Neurospora crassa OR74A: one gene and its partners. The protein of the gene in region 1 purifies or fractionates together with the protein of each later gene. This does not show direct contact. Links are inferred from orthologs where the notes say so. Each region holds a gene or a part of one and is shown in the gene's direction. Other genes may lie near its edges. The genes, in order: NCU00981, NCU03066, NCU05235, NCU09004, NCU09488, NCU03321 and NCU03380.

The links.
Region 2: the proteins of NCU00981 (region 1) and NCU03066 purify together in Saccharomyces cerevisiae (affinity purification with mass spectrometry; 7 studies listed by BioGRID, with this or other methods). This does not show direct contact. The link is inferred for Neurospora crassa OR74A from reciprocal best matches to the Saccharomyces cerevisiae genes NSA2 and NUG1.
Region 3: the proteins of NCU00981 (region 1) and NCU05235 purify together in Saccharomyces cerevisiae (affinity purification with mass spectrometry; 5 studies listed by BioGRID, with this or other methods). This does not show direct contact. The link is inferred for Neurospora crassa OR74A from reciprocal best matches to the Saccharomyces cerevisiae genes NSA2 and RLP24.
Region 4: the proteins of NCU00981 (region 1) and NCU09004 purify together in Saccharomyces cerevisiae (affinity purification with mass spectrometry; 6 studies listed by BioGRID, with this or other methods). This does not show direct contact. The link is inferred for Neurospora crassa OR74A from reciprocal best matches to the Saccharomyces cerevisiae genes NSA2 and TIF6.
Region 5: the proteins of NCU00981 (region 1) and NCU09488 purify together in Saccharomyces cerevisiae (affinity purification with mass spectrometry; 4 studies listed by BioGRID, with this or other methods). This does not show direct contact. The link is inferred for Neurospora crassa OR74A from reciprocal best matches to the Saccharomyces cerevisiae genes NSA2 and SDA1.
Region 6: the proteins of NCU00981 (region 1) and NCU03321 purify together in Saccharomyces cerevisiae (affinity purification with mass spectrometry, with the first as the bait; 4 studies listed by BioGRID). This does not show direct contact. The link is inferred for Neurospora crassa OR74A from reciprocal best matches to the Saccharomyces cerevisiae genes NSA2 and ERB1.
Region 7: the proteins of NCU00981 (region 1) and NCU03380 purify together in Saccharomyces cerevisiae (affinity purification with mass spectrometry; 5 studies listed by BioGRID). This does not show direct contact. The link is inferred for Neurospora crassa OR74A from reciprocal best matches to the Saccharomyces cerevisiae genes NSA2 and SPB4.

Annotation. Positions count from the first base shown.
Region 1 is NC_026501.1:6,508,660-6,512,334, reverse strand, and holds NCU00981 (ribosome biogenesis protein NSA2), read left to right. Parts: upstream 1-1,457; 5' UTR 1,458-1,641; coding exon 1,642-1,644; intron 1,645-1,761; coding exon 1,762-1,780; intron 1,781-1,856; coding exon 1,857-2,142; intron 2,143-2,287; coding exon 2,288-2,729; intron 2,730-2,796; coding exon 2,797-2,832; 3' UTR 2,833-3,121; downstream 3,122-3,675. Other genes in the region: NCU00980 (hypothetical protein), read left to right, coding at 1-762. UniProt on the Saccharomyces cerevisiae protein: Involved in the biogenesis of the 60S ribosomal subunit. May play a part in the quality control of pre-60S particles. Under normal, rapid growth conditions, high levels of NSA2 would allow the progression of pre-60S particles through the ITS2 processing.
Region 2 is NC_026501.1:4,413,724-4,417,873, reverse strand, and holds NCU03066 (GTP-binding protein), read left to right. Parts: upstream 1-1,149; 5' UTR 1,150-1,254; coding exon 1,255-1,282; intron 1,283-1,353; coding exon 1,354-2,978; 3' UTR 2,979-3,319; downstream 3,320-4,150. Other genes in the region: NCU03067 (hypothetical protein), read left to right, coding at 1-131; NCU03065 (mitotic control protein dis3), read right to left, coding at 3,495-4,150. UniProt on the Saccharomyces cerevisiae protein: GTPase required for 60S ribosomal subunit export to the cytoplasm.
Region 3 is NC_026504.1:5,663,709-5,667,645, forward strand, and holds NCU05235 (ribosome biogenesis protein RLP24), read left to right. Parts: upstream 1-1,746; 5' UTR 1,747-1,896; coding exon 1,897-1,972; intron 1,973-2,056; coding exon 2,057-2,661; 3' UTR 2,662-3,365; downstream 3,366-3,937. UniProt on the Saccharomyces cerevisiae protein: Involved in the biogenesis of the 60S ribosomal subunit. Ensures the docking of NOG1 to pre-60S ribosomal particles. Activates and recruits ATPase AFG2 to cytoplasmic pre-60S ribosomal particles.
Region 4 is NC_026503.1:4,190,578-4,194,786, reverse strand, and holds NCU09004 (eukaryotic translation initiation factor 6), read left to right. Parts: upstream 1-1,587; 5' UTR 1,588-1,987; coding exon 1,988-2,022; intron 2,023-2,229; coding exon 2,230-2,388; intron 2,389-2,512; coding exon 2,513-3,059; 3' UTR 3,060-3,546; downstream 3,547-4,209. Other genes in the region: NCU09005 (hypothetical protein), read left to right, coding at 1-621. UniProt on the Saccharomyces cerevisiae protein: Binds to the 60S ribosomal subunit and prevents its association with the 40S ribosomal subunit to form the 80S initiation complex in the cytoplasm. Is also involved in ribosome biogenesis.
Region 5 is NC_026502.1:4,439,064-4,443,420, reverse strand, and holds NCU09488 (SDA1 domain-containing protein), read left to right. Parts: upstream 1-1,378; 5' UTR 1,379-1,508; coding exon 1,509-1,591; intron 1,592-1,696; coding exon 1,697-3,848; 3' UTR 3,849-3,979; downstream 3,980-4,357. Other genes in the region: NCU09489 (phosphoglycerate mutase), read right to left, coding at 129-900, 955-1,010.
Region 6 is NC_026501.1:5,301,347-5,305,823, forward strand, and holds NCU03321 (eukaryotic ribosome biogenesis protein 1), read left to right. Parts: upstream 1-1,444; 5' UTR 1,445-1,508; coding exon 1,509-1,903; intron 1,904-1,973; coding exon 1,974-2,213; intron 2,214-2,286; coding exon 2,287-2,399; intron 2,400-2,459; coding exon 2,460-3,672; intron 3,673-3,739; coding exon 3,740-4,118; 3' UTR 4,119-4,332; downstream 4,333-4,477. Other genes in the region: ada-4 (all development altered-4), read right to left, coding at 1-80, 192-258.
Region 7 is NC_026502.1:903,868-908,080, forward strand, and holds NCU03380 (ATP-dependent rRNA helicase spb-4), read left to right. Parts: upstream 1-1,413; 5' UTR 1,414-1,490; coding exon 1,491-1,721; intron 1,722-1,785; coding exon 1,786-3,519; 3' UTR 3,520-3,830; downstream 3,831-4,213. UniProt on the Saccharomyces cerevisiae protein: ATP-binding RNA helicase involved in the biogenesis of 60S ribosomal subunits. Binds 90S pre-ribosomal particles and dissociates from pre-60S ribosomal particles after processing of 27SB pre-rRNA.

The DNA of each region.
Region 1 (3,675 bases):
CCTCCGAAGAAACGCTCCTATGCAGAGATCATGGCAAGGGCCCAGGCCAATCAGCCCATGCTGTCATCCGTTGGAAAGATTCAGCACAAGAAGGTGGAGAAGCAGTTGACGCTGAAGGAACGCAAGGAATTAAAGGCCGAGGAAGCGAAAAAGGGCAAGAAGGATGTAAGGCCACCGACTACCGGGAGGAGCGGTGTGACAGCTGGGCCAACCCGCAATGGTACCAACGGCACGACTGCGAACCGTCAGCGGAGTATCACCCCCTCAGCCCCGGCTGGCGCCAAGTCCAAGACAGGCCAAAATGCCGTGGAGGAGAAGAAGGTAAAGAAGGCTGCTTTAGCGACGACTGGATACCAAGGCACGGCACGTCCCCGCCCAGGGGCCACCACCACAAAACCAGGAGCATCCACCTCGGCAGGCGCAAGTAGGGGCCGTGGGCTGTCCGGTTATGGCGCCTCATTCTCACGTCCCCGGAGACGCGAGGAGGAGGATGAAGAGTTGGACGATTTCATCGAGTACGACGAAGATGAGGACGATGGCTACGGCTATGGTCGTCGCGGTGGTTACGAGTCACTGGAAGAGGATGACTCAGACATGGAGGCGGGATTGTCCGACATCGACGCGGAGGAACGCCGGGCAGAGTTGCAGGCTCGCAGAGAAGACATGGAGCAGGAGGCGCTGGAGAAGAGGTTGAAGCGCGAGAAGGAGGAAAGAAAGCGGGCAGCACTTGCAAAACTCAAGTCCAGAGCCGGAGACCGCTGATATGTCGTGGTTGCGTGGCGTGTCTCCTTCTTTCTTTTGCCTCTAAATTGGGAAGGTTTCGGCGCATCGTGATAATTTCAAGGCAGGAATTCGTTTTCTGGAGACGGTTTTGCAATGGCGTTGGCTGGAAGACAGGACGGACACCCAGAAACATTTTGCATCAGCGTCTGGAGTTTAGTCATTTTGCACGGATTCCGGTTTCATTGGCGGGCGTTGGCTGGCAATAGAGCCCGTCGGACGAATTATAGTATAGGTTGTCATGACACGGTGTAGCATATCTAGATATCTTAACACCCCCAAGCATACCACGTCTTTGGGTTTTGCCTTTGTTGACATACCTACTGTGCTCGTTGAAGCGGGTTATGCGAGCCACACAACTAGTGTCCCTTGGTAATAACCTAGTTGCAGGAGCCATTCTACGAATGGTAAGGTGATCTCCGGATCTATACAAAAGTTGTCCACTGGCCTTCCATCAAGGTTCTCGTCCTCAACGGGCGGCTCTGGCTGCCGCGGTGCACTTCCAATGCCCTGCAGCTGGCAGGCACCTTCATCCGAACCCACTCCACGTTTTCCTGGACATGCTGTTAAGTAGATATCAACCAATGACAGGTGATGAAGCTGCCCCACTATGTCCACCTCTTTACGGGTCTCCGCCACTGGAGGAGCCGCCCGATAAGGAAAGCTAGCCTTGAATGGTTTTTTTATCGGCTTCAAGACGTCCGTTCAGCAGGCATTCGCATAGGTAGAGGTACTGAAGCATATTGACCTAAACCGCATCGTCATTCTCGTCGCCCTTCGTCGCCCTACAACATCTGAAGGCCAGATTGCGTCGCCACATATCTTGAACCGCAAGACCCTCAAAGGGCCTAAAACACCAATATGGTACGGATATCATTTCTTCGAATTGCCCTCCCAATCCACAGCCACTCTCCTCAACATCATGACCCCTTCCGATCACTTGAGAGCAGACCATGCTAACCGACGTTTTCCTGAATACAGCCTCAGAACGAATACATCGGTATAGTTCCCTTCGCACTCGATCTTGATTACCGTCGACCTGTTTCCAGTCCCTAACCAATTATTTCGTTTCGCAGAACGCGCCCAGAAGCTTCACGGTAAGCGTCTGGACACCGAGGAGCGCGCACGCAAGAAGGCTGCCCGTGAGGGTCACAAGCAGAGCGAGAATGCACAGAACTTGCGTGGCCTGAGGGCCAAGCTCTTTGCCAAGGAGCGTCATGCCCAGAAGATCCAGATGCGCAAGGCCATCAAGCAGCACGAGGAGCGCAATGTCAAGGGCGCCCCCGAGGAGAAGGACCCTTCGAACCCCGTTCCCGCTTATCTGCTCGACCGTTCGAACCCCACGAGTGCGAAGGCTTTGAGGTACGTCACTTGAATGGGAGGACACATGAGAAGCGAACGGCCGCGGCGGAGGTGGAGGCCAATGTGAATGCAATGATGGCAGTAGTCATGGAGGTTGGAAAGGGTCCCATACGATGACGAGAGACTGACCGTTTTCTTCGTGCAGTTCCCAGATCAAGAGCAAGCGTGCCGAGAAGGCCGCTCGTTTCTCGGTCCCTATTCCCAAGGTCAAGGGTATCAGCGAAGAGGAGCTTTTCAAGGTCGTCAAGACGGGCAAGAAGGTGCACAAGAAGGGCTGGAAGCGCGTCGTCACCAAGCCAACATTCGTCGGACCCGATTTCACCAGACGCCCAGTCAAGTACGAACGCTTCATCCGGCCCATGGGTCTCCGTTACAAGAAGGCCAACGTCACCCACCCTACCCTCAATGTCACGGTTCAGCTCCCCATTCTCGGCGTCAAGAAGAACCCCAGCAACCCCCTTTATACCCAGCTTGGTGTTCTGTCCAAGGGTACTATTATCGAGGTCAACGTTTCCGATCTTGGTATGGTCACCGCGTCGGGCAAAATTGCCTGGGGTCGTTATGCGCAGATCACCAACAACCCTGAGGTATGACCAGCACAACCCCGCCTCTTAACTTTACATGGACGAACTGCTAATACTTAACTTCCACCAGAACGACGGATGCTTGAACGCTGTGCTCCTGGTTTAAGCGCAAGAGTGAAGAGGGTGATGGTTTGATTTGTCTAATTATATGTCTAGTCTCTTGGGCGGCAACTGTAACGGGATTGCGTTAAATCTGATTTTGCATCTGGGACTGGCGTCTGGTGTTTTGAAAGAGGATCGACACTCACGGCCGCGCAAAATATCTCGTCCGGGGGTTCACTTAGGTAGTATAGTGGTTAAGATACACACACAATCTGCGGTAGAACATTATACCCTCCGATCATTTGTTTTGGTTGATTGTATCACCTGATGGTTTAGAAGACATGGATTAATACGATAAGACACATAGATATATCTTCTCTGGTTGCTGCTGCGCTTGATCTAGGTTGACTCCCATGGGTTTCGAGCAGACTATGCTGGCAAGCGATTAACCTTACAAAGGTCTAAATGGCTGTATGGAACCCTGCATCCTGAGTCGATGGAAATTTGCTGGTCGATTTGACATGCAACACCGCAAGCAACTAACGCAAGGGCAACACATTGACTTCTACATCAGCTCAGAGCATCTAGCTTGTCTTCTGTATCTTGATTTTAGAAGGAGAGCAGTTCCGAGCTTCATCACTCCAGGGTCAACCCAGCCTCCAAGAATCAAAAGCAGGTATTTTCTATCCAGACCGACGAGTAACTTCTGTACTCTTCAAGCCCACTTGCCACCACTCAACGGTCAACGAAACGCTGATACCGTACCAACGAAGAGCTACTCGAAGCGATATAAAGAAGCGATTTGCCCATGTCTCGGGATCCTAGCTTTAATGGCCCCGGGAAAGCGCAGGAATCGGTAAGATGCATCGTAGTCACCCTCTCCTTGAAGCCAAAATCTACCAGAGAA
Region 2 (4,150 bases), about 2.1 Mb from region 1:
CCATGTCGGCATCAAGTGAGCTGCGCATCGAAGCCAGTGGCGAGCTTGGTGTTATCTATCAGCACATGGACCTGATGGATGATGCAAAGCGTGTGCTTCGGGTTCAGTATGAAACAGCAAAGGAGTTTTAGGCGGAGCACTTCGCGTGCCGGTCGATCGGAAACCTCGATACGGTCAACTAGCAACTGTCCCAGCAGCGTTAGGATGAGTCGTTGTTGTAATTAGCGATAAATTAGCTCCTTGAACGCGTTGAAAGGGCCCATCAGATCAAGGATACAATTGACTCGCAAGTCCTGGATGCATTTACAAGAGAACAGCGATTGAAGGGTGCGATAACTTGGGAAACAATCGGTCTCTTCCGTCTTTCTCTACGCTAAATGGGGGATACCTACGGAAGAGTTTCTGAAGATACTCCCTCATGTGAAGCGTGATAAGCGTGGTTTCTGGGTGATATGTTACCTCCCCACCACAACCCCCTTTCTTGATGCGTATTCGATGCTAGCATGCTATTTTGCTTCAGGACTTTGTCTACGTAGGCCAAGATGACCCAATGTCCGGAGTGTCTGCTCTGCCGATAATCATTGCATAGTGCAATGCCATTGTCAGCTTAAGCGACGATCAATTATGCGAGCGGGGCACGGTGTTCTGTTGAATCCATGATGATCCAAAAACTCAAAAAAAGCGTACAGCGTCCATGTGTGGTATAAACAAGTGCTTGACGACAGAACTGATGGCATCCAGAACTGCACCTTGACGGACGGTTCGATGGATTTGAGGATCGTCATGGCAGACAAGTGTTTGATTGTTGAGACGGACCGACCTAAAGTCCTCTTTCTGGAAAGGCAATGCAAACCACTTGCGTAAAGAGTCGGTAGCAATAATTCTTCATATACATATAGAGAACAAGCGCAACCACACCATAAGTGTATCAATATAATTTACATTCCACGTTTGGCTAAACACAAATCAAACATACAATACGACTGTAAATTACAGGCACGCGCATCTCCACATTCGAAGCGGGGACTTCTGGAATCTTGGTGGAGTTCAACACGGCGGATCCCTGCTTTATCAGAGCTTATCTAGGCGGTCAGCAGTGGCACAAACCGTTCCTCCACTCTAATTTTTTGACGACCATCAATCAGTACAGCCGCCCATAGTAGCGACCGGATTTTGCTGCTTTACCTTGCTGTCCCATCCTCAATTATCCTCCTGTACCTCCTTTTTTGACATTAGGAGCAGCATATCTTCAAAATGGCCGGATCGATAACAAAGCCCAAAAGTCAGTCAATCTTTCGCTGAGAACAACATATTCTTCCAATCAACACATTGACTGACGTTACTTAAAAACAGAGCCGAAATCGAAGCGTACACCCGTACGCCTCAGGCACAAGATCCAGAAGGCCTCGGCCGCGAAGCAACGCAAGGACAGAAAGCTCGCCAAGAAGAACCCAGAATGGCGCTCCAAGCTCAAGAAGGACCCGGGTATCCCGAACCTTTTCCCCTACAAGGAGAAGCTGTTGAACCAGATCGAGGAGGACCGCATTCGGAGAAAGGAACAGGAGCAGAAGCGTCGTGAGATGGCCAAGGCGGCCAAGACTGGCCAGGACACCAAGACGGGCGCCGAGGGCGATGTCGAGGCGTTCGATGACGATCTGATGGACGACGACGATGCTATGGAGGAGGATGGTAGCGACGTTGACGATGAGTCGAACCCCCTCGCTGCCCTGGTGGCCAGCGCCAGGAAAGCTGCCGAGCAGTACGACCGCGAGCTCCAGAGCGGCGACGAGATGGACGATGACGACGAGTCCGACGACGAGACCGATGGCGAACCCACACAGTCCGGCGTTATTGAGGTTCCCGGCGGCGCCTCCTCGCGCAAGGCTTTCGACAAGGTCTTCAAGCAGGTTGTTGAGCAGGCTGATGTCATTCTTTACGTCCTCGACGCCCGTGATCCCGAAGGCACCCGCTCGAGGGACGTCGAGCGCGCCGTCATGGCCGCCGCCCACGGTGGTAAGCGCCTGATCCTCATCCTCAACAAGGTCGATCTGATCCCTCCCCCGGTCCTCCGCGGCTGGCTCACCCACCTGCGCCGCTACTTCCCCACGCTGCCGCTGCGTGCCTCCAACCCTGCCCCCAACGCCCACACCTTCCAGCACCGCGACATTACCGTCCAAAGCACCAGCGCGGCTCTCTTCCGTGCGCTCAAGTCGTACGCCGTCTCGCGCAACCTCAAGCGCTCCATCCAGGTTGGCGTAATCGGCTACCCTAACGTCGGCAAGTCGTCCGTCATCAACGCCCTCCTGTCCCGCCTCAGCAACAGCCGCGGCCAGCACAACGCCTGCCCGGCCGGCGCCGAGGCCGGCGTCACCACCTCGATCCGCCAGGTCAAGATCGACAGCAAGCTGACGCTGCTCGACTCGCCCGGTATCGTGTTCCCTTCCACTGCCGGCAACTCGACCTTCACCCCCAAGAACCAGACCGAGGCGCACGCCCACCTGGTGCTCCTTAATGCCATCCCGCCCAAGCAGATCGAGGACCCGGTCCCCGCCGTGACGCTGCTGCTCAAGCGCCTGTCGGCCACCCCCGAGTTGATGGACAAGATGATGAAGGTGTACGACCTTCCCCCCTTGCTGCGCGACCCCAACAACGGCGACCCCACCATGGACTTCCTTGTCCAGGTTGCCCGCAAGCGCGGCAGGCTGGGCAGGGGCGGTATCCCCAATATCCAAGCCGCTGCCATGACTGTCGTGACCGACTGGCGCGACGGTCGTATCCAGGGCTGGATCGATGCTCCCGTCTTGGCTGTGGCTGGTACCGCCACTGCTCCTGCTCCTGCTGGCGGCAAGTCTGCTACCGCTGATGAGCCCCTAGCGGATCAGAAGGTGATCGTGACCGAGTGGGCCAAGGAGTTCAAGCTGGATGGTCTTTGGGGAGATGAGGAGGAGACGGCGACTCCGGATGTTGAGATGCAGTAGAGCGATTTATTCCCCCTATCTTTGTCTGTTGGCAGTTGTTGTTGAGCATTTCACTTTTTGGTTTCTTTTTTGTTTTCGGTTGCGTCGGTGGTCAATGTCGTAATGAGTATTTTGTTGTTTTGCATGTCAGAAACACAATACAACGAACCCCGGAGCTGGACACATCTTTGTGAAGAGGCGTTTTGGCGTCAAGGTGGGAAAGAGCAAAAAGGGAGACAGGCAGGCCGGCTGGTAGAAAATAGGTCAAATATAGCCTGATCATAAACACCTCTATGACAAAGGCTTTTGAAGTGAAGCTTTAAATTCTTTCTGACATTCCCTGCATCGTTCATCATACCGAGCTGTGTTTTCAATGGCCTATTATCGAATTCGAAAGCAACGACATTCCGAAAATGACTTCATGAACGTTTGGATAGCCGAAAGTAAAAAAACAATGTATTGCTCTACAAAAGTCCATCAAGGGTATTCTTAACCTGTACCCCTTCTCAAATACTGAAGCATCCATCTTCAACAAATCTAATAAGTACTAACAAGCTCCATCTTCACCCCCCTCTTCCCCGTCGTCTCATCCTTCTGATCCGTCACCCTCACCCTGACCTTCTGGAACAACTCCACCTTAACCTCCCTGCTTCCCGATGTGGTCAGCGTGTACGTCTCGGCATCATACGTCGCCGCCGGCTCCGGCTCCGCCAGGTCACGCAGACGGATCAAGCTCTCGATACCGAACTTCGGCACGAGCACAACAAAGCCATTGCTAAAGATCTTCATGACGAAGCCGTCCTCCTCCGTAGCCTTGCCGCGCAGGGCCTGGCCGACATAATAAGCAATGCTGGCACGGCCGGCCAACTGGGCATTGCGGTGGCGCACGTTGATGTTCTTGCACACGGCCTCAAGGCGGCCACGGGAGCGGACGGCCGGGTGGACGGCCTCGTACTCAATCGCGGCGGCGAGCTGCCGATGGGCAACTAAATCGGCGTAGCGGCGGATGGGCGACGTGAAGTGCGTGTAGATCTCAGAGGCCAAGCCGTAGTGGCGGAACTCCGGGTAGGATTGGGTGCCCGAGCAAAAGTACTCGGCCGACATCATGCAGCGCGTAGCCATGATGCGGATGAGCGTGTTGAAGAAGGGTTCCTTGGGGTCGACGCACAGGTCGAGGCTATCGGCGAGGGCGC
Region 3 (3,937 bases), on another chromosome or scaffold:
CCACGAGGAGAAGAAGCAGATATATAACGAGTGGGAGAGACGGGAGTCCCCTTTATGTGGCAGAAATGGGAACCACAACATAAAGCAGCAGGTATTGTTACTGCTTGTTAGACTGTCAGGGTCTTGGTGGTAGTTCACCCTCCTTCCCCATGCAGTGTCCTTAACTCGATATCATCTTTTTGAGGGGAGATGCCCAAGCCTTGACCTCCTGTTGTGCCACTTCCCCTCCCCGGTTTGCCTTGCAGCAAGTGGACGGTCTAGACAGGGAGCCACCGCTCACCTCCGCCTTTCTCGCCTGCACCTCCTGCTTTTCTTCCTCTGTTGTGAGTAGTTACTATGTCCAACGGCTTCTCGAGACCTGGAACCGTCTGGCTGAGGCATGGTGTAACCCAGGATTGAGCGGGGTAGGAGTGGCAGGCAATATCCAAAATCCAATCATCTCGAGTGGCTGGACGTCACTTTTGTATCACAGCGGCCCGTCTGTGAGTTCCGTCGTCTGATTCTGTGATGTCTAATGGCACCACGGAGCGAGGAGTGGTCCGGTGCGCGTGTGCTGTGGCTGGGGGAGGAAGCAGTAGGTGTTGGGTTTGTAATTTTGATCCTTTGTACATTTCAGTAGATACCAAGTTTGAGAAGGAAGATTACGGTGAACCGCATGGGATAATTACCGACAAGAAACTGGAAAGAGATAGCGACATCTTGACTTTCCTATACTTAGTGTACGGTTTGTATCAGGAAAGAACGATCTCGGGACCCTTACTGTCGCAGGGCAGGAGCTAGTCTGGTGGAGCCTCAGGGGAACCCGACTCCACTTTTGACGCTTTCCCCGGATTCCGTCCCCGCATCTTTGAGTTAGCGCTGTGGATCTGATGGGGCTCTCGGTCAGCACCCGACCCTCAACTCCGCTGTGAGTGAGATGAAAGGAGCACTGTGATTGGGGAAGGAGTGAGGAAAGTCCATTGCACTTCAAGTTCAATCTGAGAGACGGAGATGCGTTATATCAACCAAGTGTCAAGGAAGACCTCTTTTTGTGTAAAGCCTAAGTAGTCACCTTCAACAGACACTGGCCTACTGCCGACGGAGTTTCCATCACAGAAGGTCTTGATCATTGTGAGAAATGACAGACAATTCAAGATCCGATTTCGCCACAGTCTCCGAGAAGAACTTGACGCCTTCAGTTGTAACTCGAATAGATTCTTCAGACATGGTAAAAATTGCAGTCACGAACACCGATGATACCCGGTGTTGAACATTGTAGAGGGTGTCAGACTTTAATCGTTAGCAGTAACTGATGGGAAAGAAAGAGAGTGGAGCTAGCAATGTTAGGGTCCGCGAGAGTCCTGTTAACAGAAACCAATGCCATCTTGGTGACTGAACATTGTCGCGAAGCGAAAAGATCGTGAGCTCAAGAAGTATTGTTGGATGGATCGGGGAATATACTGATTTGGGAAAAGTAAACATGCCCGTCGACTTGAGCATCATGGCCATCGCTTGTCGAGAGAGCATCGAAAGTAAGCAGCCGCAATTGCCGGCCAACTTACATCGAGGAATCGATCATCGGGAACCATCATTGTCAAATCAAGAGAAAAGAACCGTCTGGGCTGGCGTATATGCACGCTCAACCCTAACCCGAGTCTTGTCGGCTGATAGCACGATAGCGCTAAGATAAGCCAAGCGTCCCCTCCGCCCCACTTTACTTTTCCAACACCGACATCCAGAAATTTTCAGAAGCGGCGCCCTTGACCGTTTCGCTGTTGTTGACTTTGTTGCTTGCTTCCCCCTCTCCTCCCCCCCCTCCCGAACAGACAACGAGCCCATCCTCACCCGGCTCGCTGCTTCTCTCCTCAACCACCACCACCACCACCACCACCACAACCACCCACATAACCCGTCAAGATGCGTGTCGATCCCTGTTTCTTTTGCGGCCGTCCGGCCTGGCCCTCCAAGGGCATTACCTTTATGCGTAACGATGGTATGTTTTTGTCATACTTCAGTTCCCCATCATCAACCTCTCCGTCAAGGCCAATTGCTAACCAGGGTACAACTAATGTTACAGGCAAGTCCTTCCGCTTCTGCCGCTCCAAATGCCACAAGAACTTCAAGATGAAGCGCAACCCCCGCAAGCTCAAGTGGACCAAGGCCTACCGCAAGAACGCCGGCAAGGAGATGGTGGTCGACAGCACCCTGCAGTTCGCCGCCCGCCGCAACGTGCCCGTCCGCTACGACCGCGAGCTCTTCGCCAAGACGGTCAAGGCCATGGAGCGTATCTCGGAGATCCGCCAGCGCCGCGAGCGCATCTTCTACAAGCGCCGCATGGCCGGCAAGCGCGCCCGCGAGGTCGCCGCCGCCCGCAAGCTCGTCGCCGAGAACGAGCACCTCCTCCCCCGCCTGCGCGGTTCCGAGAAGAGGAGGCTGGCCGAGCTCGCCCAGGAGACGGGCCAGGACGTCGAGGAGCTCGAGCGCGAGGAGCTGGCCAAGAAGGCTGCCAGCAAGAAGACCAAGGCGTTTGGCGGCGAGGTCAAGAGGCTCCGTGTCAGGACAGACGGCGGCGTGGAAGAGATCTCGGAGCGCGTCGCTGGTGGAGGCTTGGTCGATGAGGATGACGATGACGAGAACGATTTCGAGGACGTGGACGATGACGACGAGATGGATACCGACTGAGCGCCCGAGTCTCTGTAACTATTACTACCGCGACCACCACCACCGCCAACCACCACCACCACCATCACCAACACCGAAACCAGCCACCTCTTTTCTCGGGATCATTCGTTGTTTGCTTGTTTTCTTCGGACGAACTCGCTCCCGCGGCTGTCGATATCCCTATGCGGGGGAGGGTTCTGCTGTATTTTTTCGGCGGCCTTTCCTCGCCACTGAGACCTGCCTAGTTGACACCAGCAACAAAGCCCAACTACGACGAACGGGTCTTGGTGTATAAAGACGGAACGACCAGAAAGAGGACAGGACAGACAGCAATTGGTTGACCAACAGCCAATACTCTAACTGTAAAAACAGTAACTGTGGCTTTGGACAGACAGACAATCCTCCCCCCCGAGCGATGGCTGCTTTCGGGGCTTGCTTATACCCCTTGCTTGGTTGGTTGGTCGTTGGTCGCTACAGGTCATTGGAAAGATTCATTATATTCAGAACCATGGTTTTCAAGGGGGGGATCAATCAGTCTACCTTTAGTAGCAAAGCATATTTTCGGTTTTATTGGAATCGGCGAATTTGGCGTTTAATAGACACGGGGAGACCCACAATATGAAGTACTTGTTTGTTTTTTTCTTTCTGCCATGTCTTGTCTTGTTTTATAGTAGTAATCCTCAGTACTTTCTGACTCGACAAGTTACTCGTTTCTGTCTTCTGCCAACGTGACTGACCTCTGTAGCTCGAGACCTGACTAGGTATCCTAGCCAAGGATATATCCAAGGTCAATCTTGGACTACTACCCGTTCGTTGATTCCATCTTGCACTCAGTCGACAACACAACAACTCTAAACAACACCTAAAAGACACAGTTGGTTCAAGTCGGTAACTAAATACAAAGTATTATATCTTTTATCATTTGTATTATTATAAGCGTTAAGACCCGACAAAACCAAACCAACCCCTTCCTTCGCATGCTAATGCTCCGATCGCCTTGCTTTAGCCAGCCAGCCAAACCGTAAGCACAAAGCACAGCCAAGTTTCTCATTATAGTTTGCTTCCCCATTTGTCAGGTTGTCTAGCCCACCCACCTCTATTTCCCTCCCCCCACCCCCCATCATCATCATCATCAAGTTCCATCTCATTCTCTCATCATATATTTACCCCATTATATCGTTAACCTCGTTAACATCGTCAACATGATCATCATCCCCATTGCTGTCTTCATCCCCAGCCGTCACGGTTTCCCAACCAGCACGCCCTTTCCCTAGGGAAGAGGAATTCAGCTTGTCCT
Region 4 (4,209 bases), on another chromosome or scaffold:
ATCTACCCCTCGAGATATCGACGCGATTACATATCAGATCTGATCAACACTATAGATGATGATGATGACGATGATGAAGATCAAGCAGCAGCCGCGCTACCTCCCGAGTTTTCGGCTGCATCCCAGCCTTTCAATGTCACGACCGAATGCAGTGATGACGAAAGCGAAGGAGACGAAAATCATTTGCGGCGTAGGCGAACCCCCAACAGGATTGGTGCTTTGCCTTTTGAAAGCGACAGTAGTGATGACGGAAGAGACCCATGGAACCCCAGCGGTTTGGACTGGACTGATCTCACTCGTGCGCGACACTCTGCTAGTTGGCGTAACGAATACGACACGGGAACCCCCGAACTTGAACGAGCGCGAGAAGCCTCGCAGGTGGCCACGCAGGAGGCGGTACGAGCCGTTGGCGGAGCGCTTATGTCTCCGCTGGCCCAATTCTACATTGAGAAGGACAAGAACAAGTGTACCATCAAGTTCGACCCGCCGGTGAGCGCGCGGTACATCCTGCTCAAGATGTGGAGTCCACATCCTGACCCTCTTAAAAATATTGATATCCAGGGGGTTATAGCGAAAGGCTTTGCTGGTCCGCAGCTATTTCCAGCCCAAACACTGCAATGAGACTGAGTCAAAGAAGGTGATCAGTTCTTGCAAGGCATGCATCATCCGGCAAAACGGGGTTGGCAAAATAAATGTTCGCGTCGTCTTAAATAGACTACTGGTCTCACGAGACTAGTGCTTGACGGTCAGCCGGGGGCAGGGGAGTTTGGAGTTTTGGTATAAATGCATCTTGTTTAAAGGCGATGATACTTGGATGATGGCTTTCAACGGTCATGGGAATTGGTATCAGCGGGTTATATGGAGGTACCTCACGGCATTATGGCAAAGTGCGCTTTCTCGTCAACTGAACCAGATGTTCCCCCAGCCATACGTTCCCTCTGCTAAGCTCATAACCCAAAATGACAACCGGGCTCCCTTAGCCACACTTTGGTTGTTCTCATTGTTGTCCTGTCGCTACATGGGCTGACGAGGAGAGGTTGTGAATCCGTGGGTTAGGGTTCATCATGAGCCGAGCGGACGAGTTCAACAAAAAAAGATAAGCCAAAATGAATTGTCCGGTATGTCGGCTTCTGGCATCTATGTCTATACCACCAGGATCCTGTGATCTTCTACACAGTACACTGCAACAGCAACTTCATTACATTTTGCAGAAGTTGAACTGTTGAAACAAGCCCCAGTCTATTCTACTACGCCCCGCAAGTGAGCCTCTTTGGGTACCTTGCATATCGCAACAATGATGAATCATAATGAAAATGGCGGTAGTGTACACTACCAAATGGGAAAGCCACTGCAAATCTGATTGGGCAAACAAGCTTTAGGAGGCGGTAATGGGGTCGGGTAGACGTAGAGGATAGCTTCCATGTCGCTGTAACATAGTGGGCTGTGTGGCAAGCCTTTTGCCATCCCGAGGGTGGCTAGGCACTGCTCGCGTAGCCTTACGAGGATTGCTCCAAAGTGTCTGAGTCACCGGTGATTGAAAATGAAATTGTATCGATGCAAGTGCACTAGAATTTCGACAAACTCATACTTCTCGATGGCAAAAATGGAAGGGTTTGAGTAGAGAGGTTGGGTTGGTAAGCCGCATGTATGCGTCCATGTCTTGTTGTTGAAGGCAAGTACTGGTACATACATCTGTAAGGGTCTTGGTACCCGCTTCCAAAAGCTGTGTGGTTCTTCCTCAGTCCAGATTCCAGATTTGATAGCGCCCCACTTTACACATAGCCTGGAGTCTGAATCCAGATTATATTTTCCTTCCATCGCCCACCCCACCAGTCGTCATTCGCGAAGCAGCAAAACGGCATTCTATACCTCCAATCTCCATTGCTTCAGTCGCATAAACTCAATCTCTCCGTCTCTATCGGAATACCACTTCACCCACCAAGTAAAGGAAGCCCACTAGGAGCACTACACAAGAAGAACCGAAGCCATGGCTGTCCGCGCCCAGTTCGAGAACTCCAACGAGTAAGTTTTGCTTGGCCTCCACGTTCCGAGATGGGGAATCGCGATGCGAAAATCGAAGATCTGCCCCGCCTGCCACCGACGACGACATCAATACCATGCTTCGACACCGCGACAGCAAGGCGACTCTTGAATCTGAATGGGGGGCGGAGGGTAGTTCTTCGGGATATCAAGTAGCAGACGCGCTAACATTGTCTGCTTTCTCAATAGGGTTGGAGTCTTTTCCACACTTACAAACTCTTACGCTTTGGTCGCCGTCGGTGCCAGCGAAAACTTTTACAGCGTCTTCGAGGCCGAACTCCAAGATGTTATCCCTATCTGCAGAACCACCATTGCCGGCACAAGAATCATCGGTCGCTTGACAGCTGGGTAGGCGCTTCTTCCCTCTGCATTTTTGATTGAACTTTTAGTCCCAAGTATCGGAGGGGGCGCAACCGAGAACCTGATTATGGGACATTGGTAAGCTAACCACGAGTAAAAAAAAAAATTACAGTAACCGCAAAGGTCTCCTCGTCCCCACTACCACAAGCGACCAGGAACTGCAACATCTGCGCAACAGTCTCCCCGACGACGTGCGCATACAACGTATCGAGGAGCGCCTGTCGGCCCTGGGCAACGTGATTGTGTGCAACGACCACACGGCGCTGATCCACCCGGATCTGGAGCGCGAGACCGAAGAGATCATTGCCGACGTGCTCGGCGTCGAGGTGTTCCGCCAGACCATTGCCGACAACGTGCTCGTCGGTAGCTACATGGCGCTCAGCAACCAGGGCGGCCTCGTTCACCCCAAGACATCCATCCAGGACCAGGACGAGCTCAGCTCCCTGCTCCAGGTACCGCTGGTGGCCGGCTCCGTCAACAGAGGTTCCAACGTCATCGGCGGTGGCATGGTGGTCAACGACTGGATGGCCGTCACTGGTCTTGATACTACGGCGCCCGAGCTGAGTGTTATCGAGAGCGTGTTCAGGTTAGGAGAGGGTGCCGCGCCTGGCCAGATCAACTCCAGCCTCAAGGATACCATGGTCGAGTCTTTCTACTAAATCCAATGGTTTTTCTTTTGTGGGCTTGTTTTGGAGTTGGTGTTATCTGTGCTTGGTAGGCAAGGAGAAAGGAAGGCAATGTGTGAGGCAGGAGGGAGCGGAGGCGAGAGATGGATGTGTAGGAGGCGGGATTCTTGTCAGGTATACCAACGACAATGGGTCGTTTCTGACATGCATGCTCAAGCGTGAGCAAACAAGGCGATTTTTCTTCCAATGAATGGTTCCTATGACTGGCGTTTTTGCGTGAGGATATGGATATGTGTGAAGATGACCGTGGTTGTGGCTCGGCCTGGATTGCGAGATTGCTTCGAGTTTTGGAAATGCCATCTGGAATGAAAAAAAGCTTCCAGTTGACATGGCCATGGCCGTTCAGAATAATCACGAAGTATAGATACTCTTCGAGGTTCAGTTAACATGTGACATATAAGTCCAGAACGCGGGACCAATGTCTTTGGGATTTGGGGCAAGGCACGGTTTTCTGCCAAGGGTTAGGGTTGTACTGGTAGTTCTTGGTTCACCTGTCATCCAGTGAAGAAGACCAACTGAAACTCCAAGCTCGTCCCCTATGCTCTATGACGGGATCATCACCTCCTTTTACGAATGCAAATCCAGACGCCAAGCGAGATGCCTCTTGAGACAATTCCCCATCATCAATGTTTACAAAAAAACCATCATGCAAAAACACAGTACGGCATGTACCACACCCGATGCTGCCTCGAGTGCCAGGGTTGGTTGCGATCGCGGCGGTTGCCAGCAAGCAGCGGTGATGCAGTGTTTCATCATGCACGATGATGTGGTTGTCCGTTCCAGGGACTCGTGGGACCCAGCATTCGTCAACACTTTGTTGACCTGACATGTCCATATGCATAGAATGGGGGGCTATAGAATGCGTATAATACCTACCACGAGTCCAAGTCCACACACAACGACATGGTAATCCACGGCGGCTACGTATAATGTCTCACTCGAGAATCCTGCTTCTTCTTCTGGAAACGGCTTGGTATGTGATGGGTGGAAATAATTTAAACCACGCAGCTTTATTCCGCGATGCCCTGACCGTTGAGAGACATGCAGCTTGTGGCAAAAGATGCGTGGACTAAACTACTAGACTTAGTCATGAGTGGAAATATCGTTCGGGAATATTGGTTTC
Region 5 (4,357 bases), on another chromosome or scaffold:
GGACAAGTTTTTCCACATAGTGTTTCGGTACAGGTCTGTGAACATTGTTTTTCTCATCATGAAAAGCAGGCAGGGTGTGTGGTGTAAATGAAGAAAGGAGGCAGGAACATACCAATTGCTGACACCGGTCAATCAACCCGTCGCTTTTTGGCAGCGGGTTTGAAGAACGAATCCATCGTCTTCTGTTTACTGTCAAACTTGGCACTGCCAATGCCACCCCTGGTCCTTTTCAGGCCGTGGAGGTGGTCAAGGACGTTGACCCGGACGACAGTCAACTGAGCAGTCGACTTCTCGGTTTCCTCAGACGAGGCGATGGCATCCACCTTCATCTCGAGATATCCAGTGTTGCTCCAAGCAGCGAGAAATTCTGACCTTCCGGCAACAGAACCCGACGACAGCTTTGCGTTGGCAAGCCTCGTCATCTCTTCTGGGGCATAACGCGCCAAAAGTGATCTCAAGAGCGAGTTGAGTATCAAGCCATGCGCGACAACCACGACGGAGGTGTTGGTCTTGCAGTTATCACCATTGGAGATACTGTCCAGCAGCGGATCCAGGTGGGCTTGTACGAAATCGGTGGCTCGCGCGCGCATCTCGTCATGCGTTTCGGCATCGGAATGCGGTGTGCCAAAGCGCTTCCCCTCGGCAGATCGGAAATCGCGTTCGCGAAGCTCGACAACCTGTACTAGTTGGAGCTTGGAATGGTCCGTATCTTCCTTCTCCGTTGCCTTCGTCACCTGGGCGTCCACAATGGCCTGGGCAGTACTGACTGCGCGCTGCAGATCGGAAGAGAAGATGTGCGTGACAGGACCAATTGAGGACGACCGCGAGGCAAAGTGCGAGGCTAGACGACGTGCCTGCAAGACACCGTGGGTGGTGAGGGGGGAGTCACGAATGCCTGCGCTGGGGAAGGTCAGCCAATTGTCCTGTGGACATGGTCTGCTGGATTGAACGTACTATAAACCGGCCACGTTGTCGACGGTCTCTCCGTGTCGAACGAGGAAGAGCCGCATGTTGTTGGGAGATGAAGGACGAAACGAAAGACAGCATATGCCAATCGTCTCGGTTGTCCAAGTTCAAGTGGCGGATGAGGAATGCATCATCGCCGGAATGGGAATAGCAAACCGCGGGGAGCAGTTGCTGCCGTCAATCGCCCAAGTAAATGGTGATTTGTGGAAAGCAAAAGGGAAAAGAAATCCAAGAAAAAGCGCGGCAGAAAAAGAAAATTTAAAAGGGCACAGTTCAAGTGGGGTACAGAATGCCGCGCTGTCCAGGGTCCTCCCCGCCTGGAACGTCCACCAACTCCACTGGCGCAGCTGATAAGGATCCGATAAGGAATCAATTTCCCAAAAAATTCTGGACCGCTGAAGCTCCAGGCAAAGCGAGGGTTGAGGATTGTGCCAGAGGACTGGAACTGAACAGAGCAGAGGGAACCGGCTTGCACTCTCGTTGCGACTCGCATCGATCTCAACATCACTCAGAATACCGTCCTTCCCGCTCCAGCCGCCAAGATGCCCAAGAGAAAGGTGGCCGCCCTCGAGAAGGTCGACGCTGACCTGGTCAGTTTGCAGTACAAGATCAGGAGGGATCCCAAGTGAGTTGTTCTTGTTGTTGTCGTCGTCGTCGTCGTCGTCGTCGCCAATTGCTGCCCTCGTCGTCAGTCGCTTCTGTTTACTAACACCCTGGCCTCCTCCTCCAGATCCTATGCCCAAGAGTTTTACGACCAATGGCTCGCATACGACGCCCAACGGCAAATCTTCATCTCGTCCCCTTCCTCCGCCTCCAGCGAAGATAACAAGAAATTCCACGATCTCGTTGACCTCGTCGCGCACGTCGCCGATCTGTACCCCGATGTCACTGCCCCCTACTTCGACCACCTTAAGGAGCTCTTGACTCAACACCATGCCGTTCTCAACCCCGATCTTCGCGAAAAGGTTGTTGGCAGCTTGTCTCTCCTCCGTCGCAAGGATGTCATCGACTCGACCAGCCTGCTTACCACCCTCTTCCCCATTTTAATCTCGACGCCCTCCAAGTCTCTCCGCTCCCTCCTGTATACCAAGATCGTCAGCGACCTGCGCGAGTCCAACTCCAAGGCCACCAACCACAAGCTCAACCGCACCATCCAAACTGTCTTGCACAACCTCGTTACCTCGGACCGCACTTCGACCAAAGGCATGTGGGCCTGCCGCATCACCCGCGAGCTGTGGCGCCGCCAGATCTGGACCGACGCCCGGCCCTGCGACGTCATGAAGGAGGCCTGTTTGTCCGACAACGAAAAGGTCGTCGTTGGTGGTGTCCGCTTCTTCTTGGGTGGCGACAAGGAGCGCGAGGAGATGGAGGACGACTCTAGTGACGAGGAGATTGACATTAAGAAGGTCAAGCATCAGGGCACTATCAACAAGAAGACCAAGAAGCGCCAAAAGGCCATGGAGAAGGCCATGGAAAAGATTAAGAAGCAGGAGCGCAAGAAGCATGCCCCTCATCCGCTGAACTTCTCGGCTCTCCACCTCATTCACGATCCTCAAGGCTTCGCCGAGCAGCTTTTCCAGAAACACCTGCAGAATACCAAGTGCAAGTTCTCCCTCGACAACAAGCTACTGGTCCTCCAGCTCGTCACCCGTCTGGTCGGTCTGCACAAGCTCACCATCATTTCCTTGTATCCGTGGTTCACCAAGTACTTGACGCCCAAGCAACCGTCCGTCACTTCATTCCTCGCTTCTTTGGCGCAGGCGACACACAACCACGTTCCTCCCGACGCCATCGAACCTCTCGTTGTCAAGATCGCCAATGAGTTCGTCTCGGAGGCTTCTGCCGCCGAAGTTGCCTCTGCCGGTATCAACTCTATCCGTGAAGTCGCTTTGCGCCAACCGCTCTGCATGAGCGAGACTCTCCTTCAAGATCTAGTCATGTACCAAAAGTCCAAGGACAAGGGCGTGGTAATGGCCGCCAAGGGTCTTCAGTCTCTTTACCGTGAAGTTTACCCCGAGCTGCTGCAAAAGAAGTTCCGCGGCAAGGAGGCAACCATGGGATTGAAGTCGGGTGAGGTCAAGAGGCTCAAGTTTGGTGAAGAGCAAGTGGAGAGCGGTATTGAGGGTATCGAGCTTCTCGAGAAGTACAAGGAGGAGCAGAAACTCAAGAAACTCGCTGAGAAGGGTGAGGATGCTGATGGAGACGCTAAGATGAAGGATGATGATGATGACGAAGATGGGTTCAATTCCGACGAGTGGGAAGTCGCCTCCAACGATTCTGACTCTTCAACCGGGTGGATCAACGTTGAGCACTCCGATGACGAGGACGAAGGGCCTGCAGCCAAGAAGCAGCGTCGCGACAGCTCAACGGCTCCTGATCTCATCTCCGACGAAGCCATGGCCGCCGCCGCCGAAGCCAACCGCATTTCCAAGCTCGCCATGACCACTATCCTCACGCCCGCCGACCTCGCCAAACTGGCAGAGCTCCGCCGGGAGGCCCAATTAGACAAGATGACAGGCACCGTCTCCAAGAGGAGACAAGAACTTATCGCCAAGCACATCGAAGACGGTGTTACCGCCGACGACATTGAGTTGCCTGCCCAGATTGGCAAGAAGAGCACCAAGGAGGAGCGGGTGGCCATGGCCAAGGATGGCAAGCCTGCGCGTGAGGAGCACAAGTCGACGCAGGCAATCAGGAAATCCAAGAAGGAGGCTGAGGGCAAGTCGTCGACGAACAAGGAGAAGGCGAGAAAGAAGAACTTCCTAATGACGGTTGGTAAGGCGAGGGCGAAGCATAAGAGGAGTTTGGTGGATACCAAGAAGCGTCTGACGGCGCATATTGCTAGGAGTAAGAGCGGAGGAAGGAGAAGGAACGGTATGTAACACGGAGAGTTGTGGAATCGGTGATTCTCTGTTTTCGTAATCGTATTTGTTTGTACCTTTTTTTAGGTTTTGGGAAATTAACTGCGGACGAGTGTTGTACTCGTTCATGTGTAATCACACATTGTTTCCAGTCCTTTCGGGTGAAGTTGGTCCTTTGTTCCATGGTACTTATCCATATCACCCTTTTCTCCCCACGGTCCGTTGTTTGACTCCGCGATGAGGGAAGAACGAGAAACCGTCGCCGTCACCGTCCAAGGGTTACAGATGTAGAGGCACGGTAGAGGTATACTTTTACCCAATACAGATTGAACTTCTAGAGTAGAGGTAGTCTCGTATGCCTCGTCGCCTCACAGACTTCAACTAAAGTCGCCATCTCGTTCAACCTTTGCCTTCAGTATTGACCGTAAACCACTCGGCCAACAAGGTGAACATTGCAGCAGCGTGACAAGTCCACCCGATCATGTATTTGTAGAAGATTAGCTGGCTGCCCTGGTCACTGGGTCTCGAGC
Region 6 (4,477 bases), about 1.2 Mb from region 1:
CGAGTAGTTACAGTGAACGCCTTCGCGCTTACACCGCGCACAGCCATCTTGTTCCTTTGTGCAAGCAAGTTTCCGTGTCCCTGCATTTGTTAATTTAGATACATTAGTGCGGTTGGGCAGTCATGGTTGCTGACTAGAGGGTAGAGGTAGATGAATATATGGATCGAAACGGGGAGCGGGACGAAACATACGGCACTCGTCACAGGCACGGCGTTTCACCGGCTCTTTCTCCTTAGTGACTTCGCTGTTTGAGATCATGGCTGTTTTCCGCAACCGGCCTTTCCTTTATTTTGCTTTTTTTTTCTCCCCTTCTTTTCCGCGGGCGTAGATGTGTGGTGGATAAAAAGGGTTGAGTGGTAAGGTAAACGTCTAAGGCTCTCCGCAAGCCCCGCTTAGAAGACACAGAAATCGCCCCGGTGGTACTCCAAGACACTATCTATGTAGACGCTAGTGTGGTGTACACAGTAGATGGGCAAACAGCATGGATATGTACGTTGTAACAAGGGACCTAGGATGATAGGATCGACTCGTTTTCAGAGGAGGGCAAAGAAAGCAGATTTCAGACAAGATGCTCCAGGCCCGCAATGTTAACGAGCCAACGCAAGCAATCAAAGATCACCTGGTCGCGCCAGACCTGATGCCATATTAATAAGCCGCAATTGACACAGATAATGCAGAGACTGACTTTTGTTGCCGCGTTGCCTCAAATGGCACTGGTAGTGTATCAGTCAAACACCCAGGCCTTTGGACATATATGTGGCTCACTGGCCAAAGGCATGAATGATGTCCTTTTGCTAGTTATGGGATGACTATAGCGTGGGTTTTATGGCAGTAGTGTAGTGTGAAGGTGTCGAGTAACCCTAGCCCATCAAGGTTCCCTAGCAGGCGTCGTGCTACACTACATATTGTCAACTGCCATGCTTGGAAAGCGCAAAAAGACGGCGATGGTGACAAAAACCGTAGTGTAAGAGGCAATGGGGTAAAATTCGAACAAAAGTCTGTAATTACAAGCGATCCATGGAGACTCAATCTGATCACGCCGGGTATTTGATTGATGCTGGTTTGCCAGTTTTGACTGCCAATACCCACAGAACGGGCAGGACGAACTACAGAAGTGGAATCGTGCGTGGTTGAAGCCAGGTGTAGGGGTGCAGAGGGATGCTGCATCGAGGTTGGAGTTCGGTATTCATCTCATCCATGATATACAAGTAACAAATAAGGCTAAAAATTTGAAGTCGGTATCAGAGGGACGGAGACACGGAGTGCATGCTCCTGGCTTCATTTGTCTTTTGACACGCTAAACCGATAGGGTAATATGTTATGGTTCTTTAGCTGCCAGAAATGCCAAGGGCGGTGAGACCAACTCGTCCCCGCCATGAGCTGTAGAACCGGCAGAAAAAAAAGTCCCAGGCCAATTCGTATGCTAGGAATTTTCGACGCCTATCGCTGCGACGCTATCTGGGTGTTTTACCAGCAGAAAACACGCCAAAAATCAACACACATTCACAATGGGGCCAAAAGCCACCGAGAAGAAGCGAAAGGTCCAGGACGCCGAGCCTGAGTCCGACGACGAGATTGCACCCGATTTTGACGGCGCCCTGTCGCAGAGCGAAGACGAGTTCGATTCTGACTTCGACGACAATGAGCACGAACAGGACGGCGAGCAGGAAAGCGGAAGTGAGGCCAGCGACGACGAAGATGAGGAGGGCTCCCTACTAAGCGACGACATTCCCTCCGATGCTGAGGGCGACAAGGCAATGGGCAAACTTGTTCTCGAGGACGAAGAAGAGGAACTCGAGATTGAGATACCCGGAGTCGACCCCAAGCGGCCGGAGAAGGATGATGGAGACAAGAACTATCGGATCGAAAAGGACGCGAACGGCAACGAGCGCTACGTCTACGAGTATGTTGTTGTTCTGCAAATGGATCAAATATCGTTCCATGCCAGCATAGTTAACTCGAGAATGCAACAGTGAGATCGACCCCGTCTACGATTCGGACGATTCCGATGCCCAAGAAGCGCCAAACACCATCGGCAACATCCCCATGAGCTTCTACGACAGCTATCCCCATATCGGCTATGATATCAACGGCAAGAAGATTATGCGCCCGGCCACTGGCGACGCTCTTGATGCTCTCCTCGACAGCATCGAAGTGCCCAAGGGCTGGACTGGCCTTACGGATATTCACACCGGCAACCCTCTCAACCTCAAGTATGCACCCAACCCATCCTCCTTTGTCTTGCTCGGTTTCTTCGGGTCACGCTTACTGACTGCCATACCGTAGTGATGATGAATTGGAGCTTGTTCGCCGTGTCCAGATGGGTATGATTCCCAACGAGCTGGAAAACCCCTACCCTGAAACCGTGGAATACTTTACTGGTATTGAGGAGAAAATGCGTAAGTCAAAATCTATCTACACTTATCGTTGTTGAAATGGTGCAACTAACAAGTCAATAGCCCTGAGCGCTGCCCCTGAGCCCAAGCGTCGCTTCCTCCCCTCCAAGAACGAGGCCAAGAAGATTATGAAGCTTGTTCGCGCCATTAGGGAAGGCAGGATCCTGCCCTACAAGCCCCCTGAGGAGCGCGAGAAGGAGGAGGAAGAGGAGGAGCAGTACTTTGATATCTGGCAGGATGAGGTGCCACAAGAAGTCAACCCCTTGCACATCCCGGCACCCAAGCTGCCTCCTCCTGGTTTCGACATGAGTTACAACCCGCCCGCAGAATACCTACCGACCAAGGAGGAGAGAGAGGAGTGGGAGAAGCTCGACCCCGAGGAGCGCGAGAAGGAGTATCTCCCTCAGAAATACGACTCTTTGCGGAAAGTTCCCGGTTATGGCGAGATCGTCAAGGAGAGATTCGAGAGGTGCATGGACCTTTACCTTGCTCCTCGTGTGCGGAAGAACAGGCTCAACATCGATCCCAACTCGCTCCTGCCCAAGCTTCCTTCGCCTTCTGAGCTCAAGCCTTTCCCTACAGTTGCCCAAACAGTTTTCCGCGGCCATGACGGCCGTGTAAGAAGCGTTGCCATCGACCCTACTGGTGTTGCTGTCGCTAGCGGTGGCGACGACGGTACGGTACGTGTGTGGGAGCTGTTGACGGGTCGCCAAGTCTGGTCCGTCAAGCTCAGCAGTGAGGAGGCTGTCAACACCGTTAGGTGGAGGCCCGCGAAGGACTCTTTCATTCTCTCCGCTGCTGTGGGTGAGGATGTCTACCTCATGGTTCCTACACACGCCAGCGTTACTCCTGCTTTGGACCAGGCTAGCAGAGATATCCTGTCGGCTGGCTTCGGTTATGCTACAAACGGTCAGCAACACGGCGCTGCTCCCGGCAAGGAGCCTCCTGCCAAGTGGGCCCGCCCCGGTGCTAAGCTCGAGGATGAGGGTGTCTTGATCAGGATCACAGTCAGGTCGACCGTGAAGGTCATCAACTGGCACAGGAAAGGAGACCATTTTGCGACAGTATCGCCTTCCGGACAGAGGAGCTCCGTAGCCATCCATACGCTCTCCAAGCACCTCACCCAGATTCCCTTCCGCAAGCTTTCTGGCTTGGCTCAGACAGCGTCTTTCCATCCCCTCCGTCCTCTCTTCTTCGTCGCCACTCAACGAACAATTCGCTGCTACGACTTGCAGAAGCTCGAGCTGGTCAAGGTTGTCCAGCCTGGCGCGAAGTGGTACGTATCCCCATGGCTAGCCGGATAATGTGACTGGAATTGATTTGCTAACTCTGTTGACTTGTAGGATTTCTTCGTTCGATATCCACCCCGGCGGTGACAACTTGATTGTTGGCAGTTACGACAAGCGTCTCTTGTGGCACGATCTGGATCTTTCCATTCGTCCGTACAAGACGATGAGGTTCCACAGCGAGGCGGTTCGTCAGGTCAAGTACCACAGGGGCGGCCTGCCGCTCTTCGCTGATGCCAGTGACGACGGCACTCTCCAAATCTTCCACGGCAAGGTCCCGAACGATCAGCTGGAGAACCCCACCATTGTGCCTGTCAAGGTGCTCAAGGGACACAAGGTCGTCAACAAGCTTGGTGTCCTGGATATGGACTGGCACCCGCGTGAGCCGTGGTGTGTGTCTGCCGGTGCTGACGGCACCATCCGTCTCTGGATGTAAAAGAACAGCGTTTAATGGGACGAGACAAAAGATGAACAAAACACAAGGAAGGAAAACGGAAGCGAGAGGACAGGTTAATCAGTCTGCTTGTCTTGATTGGCGTGCTCGGATGTGCTATTATTATGATTAGAAAGATACACAGGCCAGTTGGAGTATATACAAGTCGACTGCATGTATGTTCGGCGGAGTTCTCGGAATGCTAAGGAAATATACCACATTTTCGTCTTTACGCTACTTTGCTATTGGGCAGCAGGGGGTTGATCTAGGCCGATGAGGTCTCGCCATGGCTGTTAGGCAACGGGATTATTTGTCTGCCCTACGACCCCTGTCTATTCAATCTTGGTCTCATGTCCGAGATG
Region 7 (4,213 bases), on another chromosome or scaffold:
CAAGTGGAAGAATGAGAGGGCTCCAACCTCCGAGCTGAGCTGAGGCGGGACGGGTGACCGGGGGGCCGGGGATAGGTGACCTGTAACCAAGATGGACCGGGTTCCTTAGTCAAGTAAGACAGACAGTATCTCAGCAAATTAGGGAAACCCGTGGTGGCATCAAGACGAGTAATGATGCTTCTGACTGGCAAGTGTCGGTTCTTTTCGACTCTTCTGCCGAATCGATAGGATATGGAGGGTTCAGGTCCAGGAAAAAGAAGGGTATCTTGACAGCAAGAGGAAAAAAAGATGTGCAAAGCAGGAAAAAAAAGAAACTGTACCCGTACTCGGTGGCTGAGGTGGCACGTTACCCTGGGCTGGACTTGGTTTAGGATCCAGTGATGACGATCATAGACGAATGACAGTGGTTCGGTGTTTGTGAAGAACAGAAATTTCGGCTGTTGCGGATGCCCGGCCATGAGTGCGAGTGGGAATCAGCCGGCGCGTGTCCTGCGTTGCGCTTCAGGTGGTTGCACCGGGCTCCCCAGCTCACTGCCCTGGTCCGTTACCCCAATTGCGGCAAGGCGTGATGACATTGGTGGGTGGTGGCCTTTCAAGAGCAGCAACAGCACACAGCGACGCGACCTTGCATGTGACAACAGGAAGTTGAGACTGAACTGAAGGAAGACGGTTGGGCGTGAATGCCGCCATTTTCAGTTCATGCCAGGCGTTGCTCGATATACCTATACCATAGTATATTGCCGTGCCTTGTTGAAAAGAGACTTTGTACTCTGCTCAACCGTTGACGTTCATCACCTTGGTCGATCTCGGTTGATGGGGATTTCTTTGTACACAATCTCCTCATCATGTAAAAGTGGTTCAAGCGTTCTTAGCATGTTTGCCTATCATGGACTTGAGCAGACGGCCAGTCGTCAAACAAGGTTGGATGAAGACGACGTAGACTTCAATTTTGGGAGCCACTGGAGCTTAGTCGAGCTGAATATTGACACCTTCAGTTGTAGCATTACACTACCTATACCATGTAAGCAAATAAGATCAAGCCTTTGTCAGGTTGCCGTGGCTGCGTGGGTTCTTCGATGAGACCCACATTCCAATATCTGATAATTGCACTAGTAACAACAGACGATCGTGAAGATCCGAAAGCTGTCTATTGATATTCACGATACAAAACGGCTTGAGCGCACATCTGGGATATAATTAGTATAAGTCGTGAGTTGTCCAACGAATTTCTGAAATCTAATGGGAAGATCTTTAGGTTTGGACCGATCAAATTGGATTCGAAAGAAGTGAAGGCTGCTGTGTACTGTATGCAACTTGCGAGGTTACGCTCACGCTAGCTTTATCGATAGGCAGATAAGATAAGGATTGTTTGGATGGTCGCCAGGCCAATTTTTGTTTCAACAGCATCGCACTGCTATCACCACGGGCAATACGCAGAGCTTCAGGGATCGATTACAACGCCCCGATACTCCGCCAACCACATAATTAACATGGCGCCTACCCAACCACAGACTAAGGTCCGGAAGCCTCCAAGGTCTTGGGACGCTCTCACGCCTCCTCTCGCCCAATGGATTCTTGACTACCTCTCCTCCATGGGCTTTACCCAGCCGACTCCCGTTCAAAAGTCATGCCTTGAGCTCTTCCGTGGAAATAAAGATGTTGTCGTCGAGGCCGTAACAGGCAGTGGAAAGACACTTGCCTTTTTGATTCCGGTAGTTGAGGTAAGCCGGATCTCTTGCTGTCTACCAGCTCAGGATGATCATATGCTAACCGATTCTGCAACAGAAACTCCTGCGCGGCGAAGAACCAGCCAAGCGAAACCATGTCCAAGGCATTATCATCTCGCCCACCCGCGAACTTGCAACCCAGATTTACAATGTCCTCGTTTCCCTCGTCAAGTTTCACGAACCCTCCGCTGAAGCCATTTCCCACGCCAAAAGCGACGAGAAGCGCCCAACAGCAACCCAGCCTGTCGTTGTCCCCCAACTACTTGTCGGAGGCACCACCAAGGCTGCTGAGGATCTCGGTACATTCCTTCGTCTTTCCCCGAATCTCCTAATTGGCACTCCCGGCCGTCTTGCCGAACTCTTGTCGAGCGCATACGTCAAGGCTCCCGCGTCTACATTTGAGGTTCTCATTATGGATGAGGCCGATCGCCTTCTCGATATGGGTTTCGCGAACGAGCTCAACCGCATTCTCGGATATCTTCCGAAGCAGCGCCGTACTGGTCTTTTCAGTGCTTCGCTCAGTGACGCCGTTGAAAGGCTGATTACAGTTGGTCTATTGTACCCACACAAGATCACCGTCAGAGTGAAGAGTCTGAAGGACGGTGGCATAATTCAAGAGAGGAAAACACCAATGTCTCTACAGATGAGCTACCTTGTTACCCCAGCCAGCCAGAAAATGCCAGCAATTGTCCAGCTCCTCGAAAAGCTCGAGCCCAGGCCCCAGCGATCCATCATCTTCTTCTCTTCATGCATGGCCGTCAAGTACTTCAGCCGCATTCTCGGCGCCGTCCTGCCCGCCGGTTTTTCCGTCACCTCCCTGCACGGCAAACTCGAACCTAAAGTCCGCGAAAAGAACTATGAGCGTTTCGTCAACACCACCTCGCCCATGGTCCTCCTCACCACCGATCTTGCCGCCCGCGGTCTTGATATCCCCCAAGTCGACCTCGTTATCCAGCACGACCCGCCCACGGACACCAAGGTTTTCATTCACCGCTGCGGTCGTGCCGGCCGTGCCGGTCGTCGGGGTCTCGCCGTCGTTCTGCTCCAGCCGGGTCGCGAGGAAGGCTACGTACAGCTTCTTGAAGTCCGTCAAACTCCCATCACGCCCCTGGAGAAGCCCGCCATTTCCGTCACCCCTGATGAAGTCGAGCGCGTCTCCGCCGCCTTCCGATCGCAAGCCCTCGCCGACCGCGAGATCTTCCAGATGGCCCAGCTCGCTTTCGTTTCCTGGACGCGCTCCTACATCGAACACCAAGCTTCTTCCATCTTCCGCATCGCCGACCTCGACTGGCTCGACCTAGCCAAGGGCTACGGCCTTCTCGAGCTGCCCAAGATGCCCGAAGTCCGCGAAGCCAAGATCGACCGCTCTCTGGGTCTGGGCATCAACACGGAAGAAATTCCTTTCAAGGACAAGGTGCGCGAGAAAAAGCGTCAGGAAGAGCTGGCCAAGTGGAAGGAGGAGAAGGCAAAGCGGGCACAGGAAGAGAATACGGGCGACAAGCGCAAGAAGAACGAGGCGTGGAGCGGCAAGGCGGAACAGGAGGAGACGAAACTGCAGAGGCGCGAGAAGAAGAGGAGAAAGAGGGAGGCCAAGAAATTCAGCGAGATGACGGAGAAAGAGAAGGAGGAGCATCTCAAGCTGGAGCAGATGATTGAGGAGGTGAGGAAACGGAACGAGGCCAAGGCGGCGGAGGAGAGGGCAGCTGCGCTTGCGGCGAACCCACCCAAGCCGAAGGCTCCGGTGAAGAAGGTGGACGATAGTGATGAAGAGTTTGGTGGGTTTGATGATTGAGTAGCTTCTTGGGTAATGGGAGTTGATGGTAATGGTTCATTTTCTAAGACGTAAAGGCGTATGAGGCGTATATACCCTTTTGATGAATTGGAATTTTGTTGGTTCTTGGCATGCTGTATCCATGAGTCCTCATGGTAATCATGATAATGGGTGTACTCGAAAAGTACAGCTGTTTTGCCTGAGACAATATCTATCATAACACCCAAATGGAGACACAGTATCGATATCACAAATGTTCTCGAAATTCGAGACATTGTGGTAACAAAGTGTTCGTATGAACAAACCAAACCAATGTATTCAGTCCACTACATCACACCTTCAGTATACTCTTGCTCGCATGCATGCGTCTTGATTTTATCTTCTAGGCAATCTTCAAACTCCTTCCTGAACCAAATAATCCCTAATAGACTCTGGACGGCGTGGTTCCAAGTCATAAGGAGGCATATCACAGCCTTGCAACGGCCTTCCTTCCCTAGTAGGATGGATAACGTTGAAGTGTCCATGTTCGGTTTTGTTCTCTCAACCACACGCCGGGTTAACATGATTAGAAGTGGGACAAGGTTTTGCAGTTAATTGAATCTTTATTGTCTGAGCTGTAAGGACCATCATGTTCAGAGAAAAACATGCATTGTACCGGAACCAAATTCGATGTTCTCATTCATCAGTATGCCTTTGACTGTGATTCAGGCGAAGA